Macaca mulatta: one gene and its partner. The protein of the gene in region 1 purifies or fractionates together with the protein of each later gene. This does not show direct contact. Links are inferred from orthologs where the notes say so. Each region holds a gene or a part of one and is shown on either strand. Other genes may lie near its edges. The genes, in order: MFAP1 and SF3B1.

The links.
Region 2: the proteins of MFAP1 (region 1) and SF3B1 purify together in Homo sapiens (co-immunoprecipitation; 3 studies listed by BioGRID and IntAct, with this or other methods). This does not show direct contact. The link is inferred for Macaca mulatta from reciprocal best matches to the Homo sapiens genes MFAP1 and SF3B1.

The regions. Positions count from the first base shown.
Region 1 is NC_133412.1:21,198,512-21,202,333, reverse strand, and holds part of MFAP1 (microfibrillar-associated protein 1), read left to right. Parts: intron 1-1,893; coding exon 1,894-2,113; intron 2,114-3,822. UniProt on the Homo sapiens protein: Involved in pre-mRNA splicing as a component of the spliceosome.
Region 2 is NC_133417.1:102,333,970-102,337,791, forward strand, and holds part of SF3B1 (splicing factor 3B subunit 1), read right to left. Parts: intron 3,499-3,822; coding exon 3,378-3,498; intron 3,035-3,377; coding exon 2,903-3,034; intron 365-2,902; coding exon 92-364; intron 1-91. UniProt on the Homo sapiens protein: Component of the 17S U2 SnRNP complex of the spliceosome, a large ribonucleoprotein complex that removes introns from transcribed pre-mRNAs.

The DNA of each region.
Region 1 (3,822 bases):
TTTTTTGAGACAGAGTCTCACTCTGCTGCCCAGGCTGGAGTGCAGTGGCGCAATCTCAGCTCACTGCAAGCTCCGCCTCCTGGGTTTACGCCATTCTCCTGCCTCAGCCTCCCGAGTAGCTGGGACTACAGGCACCCGCCACGTCGCCTGGCTAGTTTTTTGTATTTTTTAGTAGAGACGGAGTTTCACCGTGTTAGCCAGGATGGTCTCAATCTCCTGACCTCGTGATCCGCCCATCTCGGCCTCCCAAAGTGCTGGGATTACAGGCTTGAGCCACCGCGCCCAGCCTAATTTTTGTATTTTTAGTAGAGACGGGGTTTCGCCATGTTGGCCTGGCTGGTCTCGAACTCGTAGCCTCAACTGATCTGCCCATCTTGGCTTTCCAAAGTGCTGGGATTACAAGCATGAGCCACTGTGCCCAGCTATATATATTTTTGTGTTTGACACAGGTTCTCACTGTATCACTCAGGCTGAAGTGAGTGCCTTGCTGTGGTCACGGCTCGCCACAGCCTTAACCTCCTGGACTCTAGTGATTCTCCCACCTCAGCCTCCCATGTAGCTTGGGACCACAGGCATACACCACCATGCCCAGCTAATTTTTTTATTTTTAGTAAAGACAAGGTCTAACTTTGTTGCCCAGGCTGGTCTCGAACTCCTGGGTTTAAGCAGTCCTCCTGCCTCAACCTTCCAAAATGCTGGGATTACAGGCATGAGCCACCGCACCTGGCCCCCTCATTAATTTTCTAAGGTTAAACTATTCTTGTAGTCTTGAGCTAAATTCTAATAAGTTGTGTTGGCTTAGGGGTTTTTTGTTTCGGGTTTTTTTTTTTTGGTAGTTTTTATATCGCTGGGATAAATTTGCTCTTATTTAATATTTTTGTATTTGTGTTTGTAAGTGAAATCCACCTAAAGTTTTCCTTTGAACTGTCCAATTTGGTTATCAAGGTTATACTCATAAAATAAGTTGGTTAGTTTTCACTGTCTCTCTTTGTTCACTAGAATTGTTTATATTTGTAGGCTGGGTGCTATGACTCACGCCTGTAATCCCAGCACTTTGGGAGGCCGAGGTGGGCGGATCTTGAGGTCAGGAGATGGAAACCATCCTGGCTAACACGATGAAACTCCATCTCTACTAAAAATACAAATAATTAGCTGGGCATGGTGTAGCGCATGCCTTTAGTCCGAGCTACTCAGGAGGCTGAGGCAGGAGAATTACTTGAACCCAGGAGGCGGAGGTTGCAGTGAGCCGAGATCATACCACTGCACTCCAGCCTAGGCGACAGAGTGAGACTCCGTCTCAAAAAAAAAAAAAAAAAAGAATTGTATTTATAACAGATTACCTACTCTTGCAGGTTTGATAACACATAAGGTAAAGGAAAAGAAGGTAGAAATAAGTAAGATTAGAATATTGAGTCATGTGGTAATATGTTATAAAGGCTGCCGTGGAAATCCCAGAGGGAACTACAAGAATGCCTGAGCAGCATTTTAGTTTTATGTTCCTGCAGAAATCATCCTTACTATGTGGTGGGCACTGTTACAAATAATTTGTTTAAGGGTATAGTTGAGGTGGGATGCCATGAATTTGTGATGGATGCAGTCTGCCTTTTTGCGGGGGACTTTTTTCTACTGTTTCACTGCCTGCCTTCCTCCACTTCATTGTACTCAAGGTAAGCCTCATTATCATCAGTGTTGGCTTTCACAAGGAGGCAGTCTCGTGACTTGGCCTTTGTAGGAAAACACTATTAGATGAATAGATGGTTGGGTAGTGGCTCTTTTCTTCTCCTGCTTAGACTCTTGTCTACTATGAATAAAGGGTTCTATTTGCAAAGGCCATAATGGGATGAAGCACATTGAGAAACAGGCTACTGAAACATAGTTATTTTTCTCACCCAGGTGAGATTTCAATGGAAAAAGTGAAGGTAAAGCGTTATGTGTCCGGAAAGAGGCCAGACTATGCCCCTATGGAGTCCTCAGATGAGGAAGATGAAGAATTTCAGTTCATTAAGAAAGCCAAAGAACAAGAAGCAGAGCCTGAGGAACAGGAGGAGGATTCATCTAGTGACCCCCGGCTACGGCGTTTACAGAACCGTATTAGTGAAGATGTGGAAGAGAGGTAATGTCTGTGATTGTGTTTTACTTGAACATGAACCTCTACAGCTTAATAATAATAGCTAATACTTGAATAGTACTGCCAAGTAGCTGACATTTGCTAATTGTTGTAATCCATACAATAGCTTTATGAAATAGGTGCTATTATCCCCATTTCACAAAAGAGGAAACTAAGAGCACAAAGGGGCTAAGAAAGTTACATGACCAAAGTTACAAAGTGGCAGCTTCAGAAAACAGCAGGTTACTTCTGGCCTAAAGGACCTACTCAACTCCTTACGGGAATAGAAAACACAGACCATTCGTTGGCTGTTGAGGGGAGTCTTTTTAGCACAAAGATGTTTTATAAACTTTGGTAAATTGATTTTATACATCTGCTTATTCTAAATGCTAATAAGGGGAAATGACACTGAAGCAGGAGAAAAGACCTCATAAAGGTCTCATTGTAGAAAGTCTCCCAGTGAGGGATTTTGTATGTTATATACTGATTGAGACATTACCTTAATAGAGCAGACCAGGGGTCCTGAACTTTCACCGTTCATAATTGTCCCAGGGGTTTTTTCACAGAGCTCCTGGGCCAAAACAGTTCTGTTTATTTTAGTTAGTAAGTAGTTAGAGCCAAGTAACTTAATAAGTATTTATGTCCTAATAACTTTGCCACTTGAAAATTACAGTGCCCATGGCCGGGCGCAGTGGCTCACACCTGTAATCGTAGCACTTTGGGAGGCCGAGGCAGGTGGATCACGAGGTCAGGAGTTCAAGACCAGCCTGGCCAACTTGGTGAAACCCCATCTCAACTAAAAATACAAAAAAATTAGCCAGGCATGGCAGTGGGCACCTGTAATCCCAGCTACTTTGGGAGACTGAGGCAGAGAATTGCTTGAACTTGGCAGGCGGAGGTTGCAGTGAGCCGAGATCATGCCACTGCACTCCAGCCTGAGTGACAGAGTGAGACTCCGTCTCAAAAAAGAAAAAAGAAAAAATAAATAAAATTACAGTGCCCATGGGGAAAAAAACACTTTTATTCATTCTCACATAACCACAGTTACTAGTGGAATTTGTGTGCCTATTGGACACTGACAGCCTTGCAGACCTTGGAATCAGCACTGTCACTTTTTCATGTCTTGTTTTATATTGATATTCACACTGTACTTTTTACCACAGCAGCCACCAAAACCCAATTTCACGAAGATACGATATTCTCAAAAGGAATGTAATATGACTTAATGTTGAAACTGAATTACCTTGAGCTATTGAAAATATCCCAATGCAGGCCACGCTCGGTGGCTCACGCCTGTAATCCCAGCACTTTGGGAGGCCAAGGCAGGCGATCACCTGAGGTCAGGAGTTCAAGACTAGCCTGGCCAACATGACGAAACCCCCTCTCTAGTAAAAATACAAAAATTAGCCGGGTGTGGTGGTGCACGCCTGTAATCCCAGCTACTCAAGAGGCTGAGGCAGGGAGAATCGCTTGAACCTGGGAGGGGGAGGTTGTGGTGAGCCGAGATCACGCCATTGCTCTCCAGCCTGGGTAACAGAGTGAGATTCTGTCTCAAAAAAAAATCCCAATGCATCCCTATGAGTTTGCTGGCTTGCTGTGGTGCCTTAGGATGCCTCAACATACGTTTAGTATTTCAGGCCAAACTTGGCTATTTGCTCTGATATCCTAGTCTAGTTCCTTTAATCTGCACCTCAGTTTCCCCCACCTCAATACTT
Region 2 (3,822 bases), on another chromosome or scaffold:
CAGTAAAAAGTCATCTAATAACTATTTCAGGATATTCTAAAATGAAGGAAGAGTTATAATTATTTTCTTGTCATCAGTTCAAGTCACTTACCTATCCATTAAAGCATCTTCAAGTAACGGTGTTACAGCATAAATGTAGTCTTTTCCCATTTCACCAATATATTCAAACAAGAAGGAAAGTGACTTTAACACTCCATTTTGAACATTCAGTTCAGGAACTCTGTATTCATTCATTAAGGCAGGGAGTACTGTGAAGGGTGAACATGTTTCCGCAACAATAGCTATTGCTACAGTGGTACAAACTCTGTTCTGCCTTTCTTGAACTTTGAGGTTGTTTAGAAGTGTAGCCAATACATCATGAGGGCTGAAAAAAAAAATGGGTCAACAAGCTGTTACATTATAAGTCAAAAATTTATGGAAGAAAAAATGCATAAAGATGAAAACTTTTAAATATTAATAATTACAGGGAACTCAGTAATTTTATAAAACGCAATACTTCCAAGTCACTGGCATTGTTTCTACATTAAAATTTCATATAAATTAAAAGGTCAGTTTTAAAAAGTTAACTCTGAGAAGATCAGAGGTCACAGCTGTACAAATTTTAAAAATTTTGGCCGGATGCAGTGGCTCACGCTTGCAATCCCAACACTCTGGGAGGCCGAGGCAGGCGGATCACGAGGTCAGGAGTTCGAGACCAACCTGGCCAACATAGTGAAACCCCGTCTCTACTAAAGACACAAAAATTAGCCGAGTGTGGTGGCACACACCTGTAGTCCCAGCTACTTGGGAGGCTGAGGTGGGAGAACCACTTGAACCTGGGAGGCAGAGGTTGCAGTGAGCTGAGACAATGCCATTGCACTCCAGCCTGCGTGACAGAGTGACACTCCTTCTCAAAAAAAAAAAAAAGTAAGTTAACTCAAATTAATTTTCATATGTAATTTTCAGTTTTTAAACTTTCTGAAATATAAAGAAATTTAACTAAATGTTTAAAGTGAGTAATTCTGAGTTGTCAAAATGGGCACTAGAACTAGGTAGGAGTGGTGAGGGGAATATCTGAATTGTGGTCTCCCATTATAAACCATATAAAATCTCTTTTCTTTCTTTTTTTTTTTTTGAGACGGAGTCTCGCTCTGTCGCCCAGGCTGGAGTGCAGTGGCACAATCTCGGCTCACTGCAAGCTCCGCCTCCCGGGTTCACGCCATTCTCCTGCCTCAGCCTCCCGAGTAGCTGGGACTACAGGCGCCCGCCCCTGCGCCCGGCTAATTTTTTCTATTTTTAGTAGAGACGGGGTTTCACCATGGTCTCGATCTCCTGACCTTGTGATCCGCCCACCTCGGCCTCCCAAAGTGCTGGGATTACAGGCGTGAGCCACCACGCCCGGCCATAAAATCTCTTTTCTTTTATCTTCCCTCCCACACAATTTGCTGCATCTATTTGCCTCTTCTTTGACATAAACTTAGAGGGACATTGGGGCTAAAAGCTTGCATGACAGCTATTCACTACAAATTTCTTGACTCCATCACCACTGAAATAAATATTATGCTACCAAAATAGGAGAGAAATTAGTGTGTGTTAGGGGAGGGGGTGTGGTCTGGTTAATTCTACCTAATTAATCAGACGTTCACATGTCATATTCCTTGAACACATTTTCTTAAGCCACATGGACATGTGGTGTCTCGTTTTCTTTTCTTTTTTTTTTTTTGAGACGGAGTCTCGCTCTGTAGCCCAGGCTGGAGTGCAGTGGCCGGATCTCAGCTCACTGCAAGCTCCGCCTCCCGGGTTCACGTCATTCTCCGGCCTCAGCCTCCCGAGTAGCTGGGACTACAGGCGCTGCCACCTTGCCCGGCTATTTTTTGTATTTCTTAGTAGAGACGGGGTTTCACCGTGTTAGCCAGGATGGTCTCGATCTCCTGACCTCGTGATCCGCCCATCTCGGCCTCCCAAAGTGCTGGGATTACAGGCTTGAGCCACCGCGCCCGGCCGTGTCTCGTTTTCTATAATGACTTTTTTCCTACTTTAGTTGTGATGGAATGGAAGCAAACAACCATAGATTATCTCACAAAGCAGCTATAATTCAGTTAAATCCGTGGAGTAATGTTAGAATAGCATTTTTGTTGTTTTTTTTTAGAGACAGGGTCTCGTACACTGGCACAATCACAGCTCACTGTAACCTTAAACTCCTGAGCTCAAACAATCCATAATACAACTTTTAAAACACATAAAGCATTAATATGAGACTTAAATGATGCTGTGAGACTAAAAATTTGCCTTAATAGTTTAAGCAATATCCTAAAAGACCAGTACACATTTTGTATTTTTCTGAAAATGGTACTGTTTCCCTCCCTGAAAACACCTAAAGTATAATTAAAGTAAATCTTAAACCCTTCCATCTATTTTAATTCAATTAAGAATTTAAGACTACAGGCTGGGTGTGGTGGCTCATGCCTGTAATCTCAGCACTTCTGGAGGCCAAGATAGGTGGCTCACTTGAGGTCAGGAGTTCGAGAACAGCCTGGCCCACATGGTGAAACCTCATCTGTACTAAAAAATACAAAAATTACCTGGGCGTGATGGCGCATGCCTATAGTCCCAGCTACTGGGGAGGGTGAGGCAGGAGAATCTCCTGAACCCGGGAGGTGGTGGTGGGTGCAGTGAGCTGAAATCAAATCACTGCATTCCAGCCTGGGTGACAGAGCAAGACTCCGTCTCAAAAAAAAAACAAACACACAAATTGAATTTAAGAATACATTCCAAAAATCAGAAGGTCAATGGTTAAATGAAGAGCTTTCTCAACTGCATTATTCAGACCATGCCTCAAAAGAGATTTCTACATGAAGTATTTTTCAACACCACAACGAATTTATTATAATTTTTTTTTTTAATGGAAGTAAGTGACACTCACCCAATGGCCTTTGCAATATAACCAAATGTGTTGACTGTGGCTCTACGAATAGCCTTTTTGTGGGCTTTTAAGAGCTCTAAAAGCTCAAAGCAAATCCTCATCCACTCTCTTGCAGACACATATTCAGCTCCCCTAATTTAAAAAATACACATATTATTTGTGACATTAGGAAAAGTTTTAAGGATAAATTTGCAAATTCAGTTCTAAAAACATGATTGTTAACTCATTTTAAGCATTAAATAAGAGTTATTCCTCTTCAGAAAGGCTGAAGAGTTAGTCTTACAGGTTTAGTCCTAAAATTACATGGCCACCCCATTACCATCCAAATTGAAATTTGACTGAAAATATTAATACTAGACAGCCTAATCATATACACTTATATTAGTGACATTAAGAAAATTTTGCTAATTGAATACAAAGTGGCCAAATTTGAAAATTGATACTGCTTATAAAAATGTGTGGGTAATCTGCTTACCTGTCAGCAATACGCCCAACAAGATCAATACAATTCTCTTGTACTTTTTCATGTCTGTTCTTTAAGATGGGGGTGAGTCTAGGCAGCAGATCTTTAATTGGTGGAGTCATCTTATGCATACCTATTTAATAGAAGTCAATAAACTATCAACATCTGAATTGCAACTTTTGTTCACTTTCCTTTTACTTAGCAACGTTATATATGACTATGCATAAATATAAACTTACAGCTGCCTATGGAAAGAGAAAGCCGCGGATTCTGACCAGACTCAGAATCGTTTTTAACTTTTATTAACAATTTTTGATTATGTATAGAAATGAAAGAAATCAGTGAAGTGATTTAAAGAATGATGGATACTCAATAACAAAAAAGTTTTGTTTGGTTCTGAAATGTATTTGTGCACTGACATTTAAATATGGGGACAGCTTATGTTCCGGCCGTACAC